Linked DNA regions of Schizosaccharomyces pombe. Changing the gene in region 1 together with any one later gene gives a genetic interaction. Each region holds a gene or a part of one and is shown on either strand. Other genes may lie near its edges.

Evidence for each region. Genes that interact genetically often act in the same process or in processes that back each other up.
Region 2: mutations in alp16 (region 1) and mzt1 are lethal when combined (synthetic lethality), as found in Schizosaccharomyces pombe (one study listed by BioGRID).

The regions. Positions count from the first base shown.
Region 1 is NC_003421.2:430,396-437,864, reverse strand, and holds alp16 (gamma tubulin complex GCP6 subunit Alp16), read left to right. Parts: upstream 1-3,078; 5' UTR 3,079-3,190; coding exon 3,191-5,470; 3' UTR 5,471-5,601; downstream 5,602-7,469. Other genes in the region: ribosome biogenesis protein Rix1, read left to right, coding at 1-1,928; SPOM_SPCC306.11 (uncharacterized protein), read right to left, coding at 6,226-7,077. UniProt on the Schizosaccharomyces pombe protein: Component of the gamma tubule complex that is required for the regulation of both interphase microtubules and mitotic bipolar spindles.
Region 2 is NC_003424.3:1,983,604-1,987,413, reverse strand, and holds mzt1 (putative mitotic spindle organizing protein Mzt1), read left to right. Parts: upstream 1-1,805; 5' UTR 1,806-1,869; coding exon 1,870-2,064; downstream 2,065-3,810. Other genes in the region: inp53 (inositol polyphosphate phosphatase), read left to right, coding at 1-51; PAK-like GC kinase Sid1, read right to left, coding at 186-1,484, 1,541-1,657; SPOM_SPAC9G1.08C (phospholipase), read left to right, coding at 2,121-2,846; SPOM_SPAC9G1.07 (Schizosaccharomyces specific protein), read right to left, coding at 2,976-3,161, 3,207-3,810.

The DNA of each region.
Region 1 (7,469 bases):
CCTCAATAAGGAATATTTGCATTAAAATTTTAGATGGGGAAGAAGTAGTCCCTTCTTCATTACAGAAGAAAGCAGCTGTTCTTTATGCTTCGTTGTATCGATGTGTGGGGAAAGGAAATTTTGAAGACTATTGGAAGCAAAGTATTATTTCAATCCTAAAGGAATATCATCTTACTTTGGATTTTTTGTTTCAATTTGTTATAGAACCGCAAACATACCCAACTCGTGAAGAGAATTTGATGTTTCCAAAACTCAAAGGCCACTACGAAGAAACTTATCAGAAAGCTTTACACAGATGCAGAACTCTAAACTTGATTTTAATTTCTTTTTTAAGTACAAAGACGGATAAAATCGTTTTGCTTCCCATAAATGCTTTGAAGGATTTAATTCAACGTGTTTATACTGTACAACTTTCATTGCCTGTTAAAAGCGTAGAAAGTTCAGTTCAAGCTTTGCTATTCATGGTCCTTCCTCATTTGCATACGCTAGTTAATGAGTTAACCTTAAAGCTTTTTGTGGTAATTCCTCCAGCTATCATTCTTTCATTTGATTCTTACCTGGATTCATTAAATGATTGTTTACTTTCTGAGTCAACACATACTGGGGTTTTATGCTCTTCTTTAAAGTTACTTTCAAAGTTTTTGGATGTGACACATATGAATGTCCCTCTTTCAAAATACGAAAATATTGTAACGCTGGTATTAGAATATCTTGCTAATTCCTCTAAAGGTTTAGCATCCAAATCCATAGAGTTCTCTAAAAATCGTGGGCATTCTCAAAAAAAGCGAAAAACACTTTCTGAAAGTCAAGCAGGAGATACACTTATGAGTTCGGAAGAGTCTCATCAGCTTTATGATTCAGATGTCATGGATTGTTGTTTTTCTTTTTTAGCATCCATTTTGACTCATTCAATAGCATTACCACGTTTATTACGGACCAAAATAGATCTTTGCACCTTGCAGATATCTTTGTCTAACCCTACCTCAACAGTTTTGATATCTATGCATAATTTACTCCTTGCGTCAATTTTATCACCGGGAGATTCACAAGCAGTGATAGTACCTCATGCAATACGTATAATTTCTGGTCCATTAGGGCTTGTACATCCAGATCCTCTGGTCGCTTCACACGCAAGGTCATCGATGCAAACAATAGAATCGCTGATTCATCCTAGGTTCCCACCTTTGCAAAAACATCTTTCACCAAGCGAATTTGAAAATACGTTTGAGTCAAGATTTGAGCCTGTTTCTCTTGAAAACCAATCGCATATTTCTCCACCCCAGGTGGATTCTCAATCAGAGTATAAAGAAAGTAGTATTTTGGCTCCATCAAATCCTCCCTTTGAAACAGAGTCGATTACAGATTCCACTGAAATTGAAGGGATCAAAGAGTCTTTTGCATCTACAGATACAGGCTTACAGAATAATTCTACAGCTACCTCCGAGAACAAAAGAAGCGAATCAGAGCTGACTATGTCTAATGTTCTTTCTAATGAGGGTGACAGAAATGAAGAAGGTAGTGAAATCAACTCTTCTCAACCTTCAACTATTAATCACGGGACTGATCACATTAACATTGTTTCGGAAAACAAGGAAACAACTGTTTCACTGTTGCATGGAGATGTTGAGGTTGAGGAGACTACAAATGTTGCATTAAACAATTCTCAGGACACTGAAACCAAATTTACTGCTATAGACGTTGACTTTGTTGACCGACCTACTAGTGTAGTTTCAAGCCAAATTGAAAACATAAATGGTGATGAAAATGGAAACACAACTTCTTCAGTCGTCGAAACTTTTGAAAAAACAACGGATGTCGTAGATGAGAAAACGACTTCTATTAATGTGGAAGGAAACGGAGAAGATGATGAGGAGGAAGACAATATCTCTTTGCCAAGTATAAACTTGGAATCTGATAGTGATAGTTAGTCTTAATTTATAAAAAGGATTTGGGGGTACTGAATGTTTATTTTAAATTCTATTTCTAGATAAGTAGGTTGTCATTTAATCCAAGCTGATTTTTATAAAGTCCTGTATGTATTATCGTCATGGCAAAAAAGGTACATCAAGCTGATATTTGGAGGTTAAAATCAATTGATTTTGACCTCCAGAATACATTGCTTATGTGTTCTCCTTTTTAATTAGCTAAATTTTCCAGTAATACAAAGTACAAAGTCTTGTGTTATCCGCAAAAATTTTTAATTAATCATTTTTATACCATTGGTGTCACAAAAATCCCGATTATTTTAGAGTTAGACTGTCGTTTATGTTTTTTGAGAAAGAATTAAAACAACTTATCTAGTCTAGTGTTTAAAAGAATTTTATACTGTTTCATTAAGAATAATGAAGATATCCCTTTCCAAAGGCAAAAGAAAAGTCGATAACTATATAATGCAAGCTTCTAAACAAACTTGAATTAGTGATTGCAACATTTCTTTTGCCAACAATATTTAAATCCTTCATTGCTTGACACATGGTTTTATGAGAAAAATTAAGAAAGAACATTAAGTACTTCAAATAAATTTGTTGAAGGATCCAAAATTCTCCAAATAGACTTTTTTTATATGAAGATACCATTCATTCAGCTTTGACTCGCATGCGAGCTCTCTGGACAATAAACGATCAAGCCAGCGAGGTATACTGTAACCATAATATCACGAATAGTACAATAAACTTTTTTTTAAAAAAATCTAAATGTACTAACCAGAGAAGCATAAAAGAGCTCTTATAGTTCCATAAAGGATACGTTTTATCCACATAGCACTCTCTTAAAATTAAATGCTGGAATGTCGTTTTGGATAGATTATGCAATTGTGCAATAGTAATTCCTTAACAACTGATAGTTTTTGTTCAATTTATCATTCTGTTTTATTCATCCTGGATACCTTTAACTCCATGTCAGTATTTTCTGTTGTACGGCCACGAGAGTACGGATTTTTGAATTGGTTTCAATGTTAGGATCAATTACTAACGTTCCATTTCTTAGTTTAAGAGACGCATACTTCATTCACATCTTCTAATCCTGACTGTTCTAGATAAGAAGTCATCTTAATTCGCTACGTTAACAACATTATACATTAACTACACACATATTGCCAAATTTTAGTAATTCATAACAAGAGTGTTTTCCAGTAAAGGAGTTGGATCTTGAAATGTACCACTAAAATAGATGATTTTGAAATAAAAATGGAATGGATGGAATTATGAAAAACGACTTGTTATGGTTCGGCAACCACGTTTTCGACCTTACGCCAAATTCATTTGATTCTGATTTTGTCGAGCAGCTTTCGAAATTTGAGGGAAAAGAAGGATTGAAGAGGAAGTTATTTGACTCCTCGGAATACTTTCAAAACTTTTCATTTCAAGTAAACGATGATCTGTTGGGAAAAGATGTCATTCTCGATATTTCAAATCAACAACTAACACCCGCTGTGCCTGGGTGTGAGACATCATCCAATTCCAAACTCATAAGCGCATCTAAGGAAATTACTTCAGAAAGAAAAAGAGCTAAATCCTCAGTGTCCCCCTCTTATCTTACAGATTCATCACCCAGCGATTTATCTGTCGAAAACAAAGTTCTGCTAACATGCCCTAGCTGGGATGGAGAAAATTTTAAAAATTTAGAAGCTAGATCTCCATTCATATCTGAAGCGCCTTCTCGGGTATATGATTATTTTCTTCATAATCAGGATTGGAGTCCGAAACCATTATTTTCTGCACTGCAAGTTTACCCTTTAGCAACTATTTTCAATTGCGTGGCTGGTTTACCACAAGGATTTGAAAGCACAGTGTTTCCATGGAACAAAACCTCAAGCACATTTGAACTCGATCCGACCATCTCCGTTTCAGGAATGTCCGATGAATGTTTTGCTAGTATCGTCCAGAAATTTTCTGCAATTGGGGGTTTAATAAAAAAAGCTTTAAATGAATTCTCTTTATACAAGACCAACATTTCTTTTTATTTATCAAATTTCATTGTGAATGGTGTCTTGCAGTATCGAAAGGAGTTTCAGCGTTGGCTTCGTCTTTATGAGTTCCGTAGATTCGGTCTGATTGGTTTAAGTAACTTTGTTAATTCTTTTTCTTCATTCTTTGAGTTAATTTCACACTTCTTAATAAAATCGGCTCAAAACCTAAAAGGAGATTCCTTGTTAGATTTTCTTTTTGATTATGCGCGTTCATGTCAGAATACCATATCTTACCCCATTGCCCTACAGTGCTTGATATATTGCTCAAATCCCTACTTCAAAAGGCTTGAGCTTGCTTTAAAAGTTTCTTGTGCGTATGGTCACATTGATTCTTCATTGTTCTTATCACTTCCCCGTTTTTTTCCTTCTGAACTTTGTGTAAGCATTGAACAGTGTATTCAATTTTTGTCATTAATAAGGGAACAAAAAGAAATATTTAATAAAAACAACAAAGAATTTATTAACCCTTTGAACATTCGGTTCGCATATTCTTTCAACGACATAAATCAAGCTTGTGTAATAGAGGAGCGCTGCAACTTTTCTTCGCTTTCTTTTGGTAATTTGGAACAAACTTCCGTCAATAATGACAGTGAAGAATTTGAAACGCTGCTTGCTAAAATGAACATGACTCCAGATTTCAACGATAATTTATTACAACTTAAATTTACAGATGATGTGCGCAACGTCTGTCCGCTTAACTTGAATGTTTGCTGCTGTATTGCTGAGCCAATACAATCTTTTATTCTCAGTTTCTTACGTTCGACATATAAAGTTTTAAAAAACGATTTTCAGGTGTTTGATCTTTTAAATTTTTTTCATTCCACTTTTCTTTTTCAAAATTATGAATTCTCTGATAATGTCATTTCTCTGTTAAAATCAAGAAGGCTTGATAAATCTGACCGTAATGAGTTGGCTGAGGACTTGAACTCTGATGACAGATATAATTTTATTTCTCGATTGAAAAAATTCATTTTTATGGAAAAAGAAAAAAATGGGTTGAGCAGGTCTTTATCTAAGAGTATAACTTTTACATTGGATTCTGCGAGCGTTAGTGAATTTGAGGATGTGTACCCTGATTTACAATTCCAATGCCAAGTAATAGGTGCTTTACGGATATTATTTACTGATAACTCTTTAAATTATTATTCGAAAACTTTTTCTTACGTTTTACATCTCTTTCAAGCTCAATCAGACTTTGAATCATCTGTCGAATTGAAAGATCGTTCTATAGTAACAAAAACAACTATTATGTCATGGTCTAAGTATCAAGGCACGAAAGAATCTCTTTTTCAGTTTCTTTCAATATACATTCCAGAGTGTATGTTGCCTTTTACGAAATTACTGAAATCCATATATTCTCCTGACTGTCCTACGAACATACAAAATTCTGCAATTAAAAATGCGGCTTCAGTTCACGAGCAGTGCACTAAAGCAATTTATCAAAAGGTCAAAGAGTTGTTTGATACCATGAAACTCTGGGAGTCATCCATCAAAGTGTCATAACAAAAAACCAGATCCGGATGACGGATTTTTACGAGTGTAAACATGCTAATCTCACCTTTAAGTTTGAAGAATATACGATTTTACAGCAGAAAAAAATTTATAAGCACAACACTTACAGAAAATTCCTTGCATAAAATGATAAAGAATGTAAAGAAGTATTTGGATAAATTCATGAGTAAAGTATTTACTAGAGATATATCTTAATCTAAGTTTAAACAACCTGTGCCAAACAAAAGGAAATTAATTTAACAAAGAAAGGGATGAAGAATTAAAAGGAATCAAAATAGAAATGAACAGTCAAGCTTATGATTGATTGTTTGAAGATCAAACATATCAAGGTAAAGTGCCATGATCACAGGAAAATACGCAATGTAGTTTAGTAAGTTATTTTGGTGCAAAAATATATGCGCTTTAATGGTGGAACATACCAGTATGTCCCACTTAATTTGCTCGTTCAAAAAATGCATGCAAAAAAAAAAAAAAAGATACAAATCTGTAAATACCTCACGCAAATATAAGAGTGCAAATAAAGACATGTTGAGAAAAGAGTAGAGGCAAAAGCCAAAAGATAAAAATCTTACTGGACGCCTATCACTTTGGTGAAGTTGAGGGTAAACGGACAAGGAATGCATGAAAAAGGAAGGAGGTAAGTGATAATTTAATGTTAGCAAGGAAGACATGCAAGTAAGGAACAAGTGCCCATGTTCCTTATTTTAGATTTTTTTTAAAGAAAAAGGGAATCTATGCGAAATCCTTTACCACAAGAAGGCATTGTCACGGTAGTTAAAGACACTGGTAATGTTTGGATTTATTTTGGAAGTAGTGTTAACAATAACATGGTCATCGGCAACAGGGATACGACTGTCGTTGGTATATACACAAATACCTTGACCTTTATAGCCAATATTACGGCAAGTAGCACCACCAAATGGAGTGCGCAAAGCAGAGTTACAATTAACGGGGTATTGGGTGCCATTGAAGCAAGTGTTAACCAAGTAAGGGTAATCCGTATTACACAAAGTCATGTTGCAAGACCAATCCATTGAGGAATCACGAGTGAATAAGATGGGTTGATCAACAATGTTGGTATAGCTTAAAGATATACCGGAAGAACGCTTGCTGTGAGTGCTCGTACTTCCCGAACTAACGGAAGTGGTCACGTTGATAACATTTGCATTGTCAAAGTTGGAAGAATTAGCGCTAGTGGAGTAGTTGGAGGATCCGATCTGACAAAGACCGCGAGTTAGTCCGTAGGAAGAATTGGTTTCAACACATGCGGAACCACGACCCTTGGGATAACCAAGCACAGTAGGGCAGTTCAAGAGAACAGTGCTATGATTAGCGCAAATGGCAATTACATCGGGTGAAACACAAAGGTTGGAGCCACTTACATGGCAATATGTACCTTCCGAAATATTATAATAGGAGGTAGAAGCTATAGCAGAACTCAAGTCAGGAAATGTGTCAGTTGCACGCTTATATAAAGAAATCTCACGCCTTTTACAAGCAGGAGCACCTGGTATGCCACAAAGCTTGATGGACGAGACATAGGAGAACGAGCAAAGGAAAAAGATGGCCGAAATCGCAAAAGAGGCAAATGCAAACATTTTTTTTATAAAATTAAAATGTGAGAGTACGTAAAGTAATTTTTGGAGACGATAATTTTGAGAACGGAAAATGCAATTGAAAATAGGGGGAAATAATGGAACGAAAGGGATATCAGATGAATAGAAAATGTAAGGACGATAAGAATATATGGAATAAAAATGTAGAGACGATGAAGTCTTTTTGGATCGATTAAAAAGGAGGAAAGATGAACAATGATAATAAACTCAACTACTTCAAGGAGCTTTGTCAAACTGAAGCACCCAAACACTGGGACGACGTTTTACAAAGTAACTTAAGAGAAGGAAGACAAACGATGTAAACAAAAGATGTTTTCAAGTGGAAAACAGCCAAAATGCAAAGACCAGATTTTATAGCAAACCGCAATGGGGAA
Region 2 (3,810 bases), on another chromosome or scaffold:
TCTGGAAATAACTGGAATGTACAAAATGCTTTAAAGCAAGTGTCAAGTTGATTTCGAATAGTTCTCGTTTGGATGTGTTTATATATATTATGTAGATTAAATTATAGTAGAATATGCCATTATAAGTTCATTTAAATACAAAATTGTGAATGCTGTAAACAGGTTGTTTACGAGTTTTTAGTAAGCTATCCATTTAGACTTCTTCTTTTCTCAGTTTCTTCAAGCCACCGTGAAAATAGTAGTTGTGATATGGGGCTCCGCTTTTGCTTTTTGTGATGCAGTCTGTTGTCTGGAGTAATTTGGTTAACAAATTTTGAGGACAGATTTTTATCTAAAGAAATGAAAGATGTATAAAAAGATTCTAAAGATGAGCGCTGCGTTGCTGACAATTTATCATTTAATAACATCGATCGTATGGTGGACTTAATATAATGTTTCATAGCAAAATCGGAAGTCAACGATTTATGATAAGAGCTACCTTTTTCAGACAATGACTTGGAAAAAGGATGCGGTGTCGCTTGATCACTCATTATAGTTTTCTCTAAATATTTTATTGATGAAGGCAATTCCTCTTTATTTTGTGAACTGATGATGGAATTTTTAGGAATGCTAGTATTCCCTAACACAGTTGAGTCAGATTTCTTTACAGTTTCAAATGTCCAATCCTCAATGTCAGCATTTCCTTCAGCAATTGGTTCTTCAAAGGGCTTTAAAGTATTATTTATGGTTTCTTCCAATACACTTTGATCCGAATCATCAAATAATTTATTCTCCTTCTGAACAAGCAAAGGAATAATGTCTTTCACAGTTCCTGCGCTTTTGATGAATGGGTGTTGAAGGAGTTCTTTAGCTGACCATCGCATATTAGGATTGAGATCTAAGCAGCAGGACACAAAATCACGGAATGTTGGACTGAAATGATCATCTAGCTTTGGAGGCTCGGATTGAGGAATTTCAAAGATGACACGCATTGGATGCATTGTAGCGCGGGGCGGAATTCCGTTAGCCATTTCAATAGCCGTAATTCCAAGAGACCAAATGTCAGCAGCTAAACCATAACTTGTTTGTTGTATTACTTCCGGTGCCATCCAAAATGGCGTTCCAACAAACGTGTGTCTACGCGAAGCAGCGTTCGAAAGTTGAGCGGCAACTCCAAAGTCAGCAAGCTTTACGTTTCCGGTAGAGGAAGATAGTAGTATATTGGCGGCTTTGATATCTCTGTGGATTTTGTTTTGTCCATGAAGATAATTTAGCCCATAAAGGACCTCTCGAAGAATGATTGAAATTACTTGTTCATTCAACCTTCCCATTTTCAAAAGTCCCGAAACTGATCCTCCATCCATATGCTCCATCAAAATCCATAATGTGTATCCGTCAACAAAACAACCGTAATACTGAATTACATTGGAACTGTTGCAATTCGATAACATAAATACCTCTTGTTCGATGTCGGTAATGTCGTCAATACCTGTTTCTAAATCAATCTGCAACTGTAAGTTTTTTGTGATACTAAAGAAGAGTAAAAATTAATTAGTCTTACCTGTTTAATAGCGATAATGTCGCCAGACACATTTTCACGTGCTTTCCAGACAACCCCAAATGAACCTGATCCTAATTTCCGTAGCAGAGTATAAGAATTAGCATTGAGAGGATACATTTCATCAATATTTTGACTGCTCAAATCTGAGGTTGAGCCTACTTTCGGTTTCGTTTTACAAGCACAAGCTAGATGCACCACGAAGTACTTTGTTTATTACTTAGAGGATTATAATGAGCTACTCCGAGACGCCTATTCCAGTAAACTTAACATTACCAACTTGTTACGAAGTATATATAATTAGACTAGTTTATTATAAAGTATCGAGTTTTATGTCTGAATCTACCAAAGAGACAATAGAAGTTTTATACGAAATAGGAACATTGCTTGGAACTGAACTTGATAAAACAACGCTTTCACTCTGCATCAGTCTTTGTGAAAACAACGTACACCCAGAAGCAATAGCTCAAATAATTCGGGAAATACGTATGGCTCAGGAACAAACTGTTGACACAGAACCAAGTTAATGGCAAGAAGTTTAATCTCAATAGTTGACCTCGGGGTTTAGTATTTCTTTTATCTAATGTCTTCTTTAAACAGTGTTCTACCTTCAAATGCATGCGCAGAGATTATTGAAGGGAAAGACAAGGTTCACAATGTAGTTATTTTAATGCATGGACTTGGAGATTCTCACAAGAGTTTTGCAAATATGGCAAAGAACGTTCCGTTGCCCAACACTAGTTATATTTCCTTACGTGGACCATATCGATTACCATTAGATTTTGAAAATCCTGGAGGCAATTGGATGTGGGGAGAGGATGTCCATTTTGATCAAAACGGGGAACTGCAATCTGAAGCCGATTTCTCTAAAAGTTTTACGATGATTTCAAATTTAATTGGCAATCTACTCTCTTACGGTATATTATCTTCTAGAATATTTTTTTTCGGGTTTGGTCAAGGAGCTATGGTTGCTTTATATAGTTGTTATAAATTGTCTACTAAATACCAGCTTGGAGGGATATTTTCCTTTGGAGGTACTCTACCGCTATCCATAACTTTGCCCAATCATCCATTTCATGTTCCAGTGTATTTGTTTGAAAAGCGATTGCATTGTTCATGCAGCGAATATGAAGAATCGCGATTACGTAAAACATTTAAACCATTTCACCTCACATGTTGGAATCGTGATGATAAAACTGACATGCCTTCATCCCCTAGAGAATGGTATACATTCGTTCAATCTATTAGTAAACATTTGTATATTCACAACACGTTGTTTGAAGATGCAATTCCTCTTACATCTTTTTAGAATTGATTTATTTAAGTTAACATTTGTTCACAATAAAGTTAATATTCATTTGGGCATAGATATAACAATAACTCCTCTAGCCATTATGTGATTAAAATTAGTACGTTTACCTTTTGATCATTAAGATTTTCAATCGACAAGATAACTAAGATCCGGAAGCTTATCAACAATTCTATTAATTAGTTGATTTTGGTCAACTGTTTTTATATTTCCACGCCCTGCTCTCTCATTATTAAGAAACGAAGTATTGATCGATTGAATAACAGCCGGAGTGTCTTTAGGAGCTGACAATGAAGTAGAAGGTGAACTAAAATTCTGAAAAATTAGAGTATTTGGCTCAACTTGAGACTCTTCACTTACATCATCAACGGAAGCAGAAGCTAAATTCGATGAGTTTTTCGAGGTATCTTGGGAACTGACCCATGAACCCCATTCAAAATTATCAGAGGTTGGATCCGGGGAAAGAGACGTTGATGAATTTTTTTTCTTCGTTTCTCTAATTTTTTCTTCAGAGTCAAGTTTAGCGATTGATGAATGTTCTTCGACTTCATCAACTTTTTTACGATCCAAACTTAGTGGTGATTTTGGAACAACTTCATCCTCTTTATTTATTGAAATTGTAGAACAACTGTTGCTTTCCCTCTCAATCAATTTGACTGGGGAAGAAAGGAAAGTATTTGCAGATAATTTGTGATCCTGTTTAACAGCAACTGTATTATTTAAAAGAGCCGTAGAAGAAGAATAATCCTTGGGAATTTCATTCGATGATAAATTAGAAAAATCAAGTATATCTGAAGGAACATTTATACTGGAAATCTTGGTCGTAGAAAAATTAGATAAAGGAGACTGTTCCGGTAACAAAATATTTTTGTCATTGATGGGCGGTGTGACAGGTGAATTGGTATAGCTTGCTGTTTTCCTTTTCTGCTTCTGATAAGCTGTTGACCAACAAAAAAGCACATTG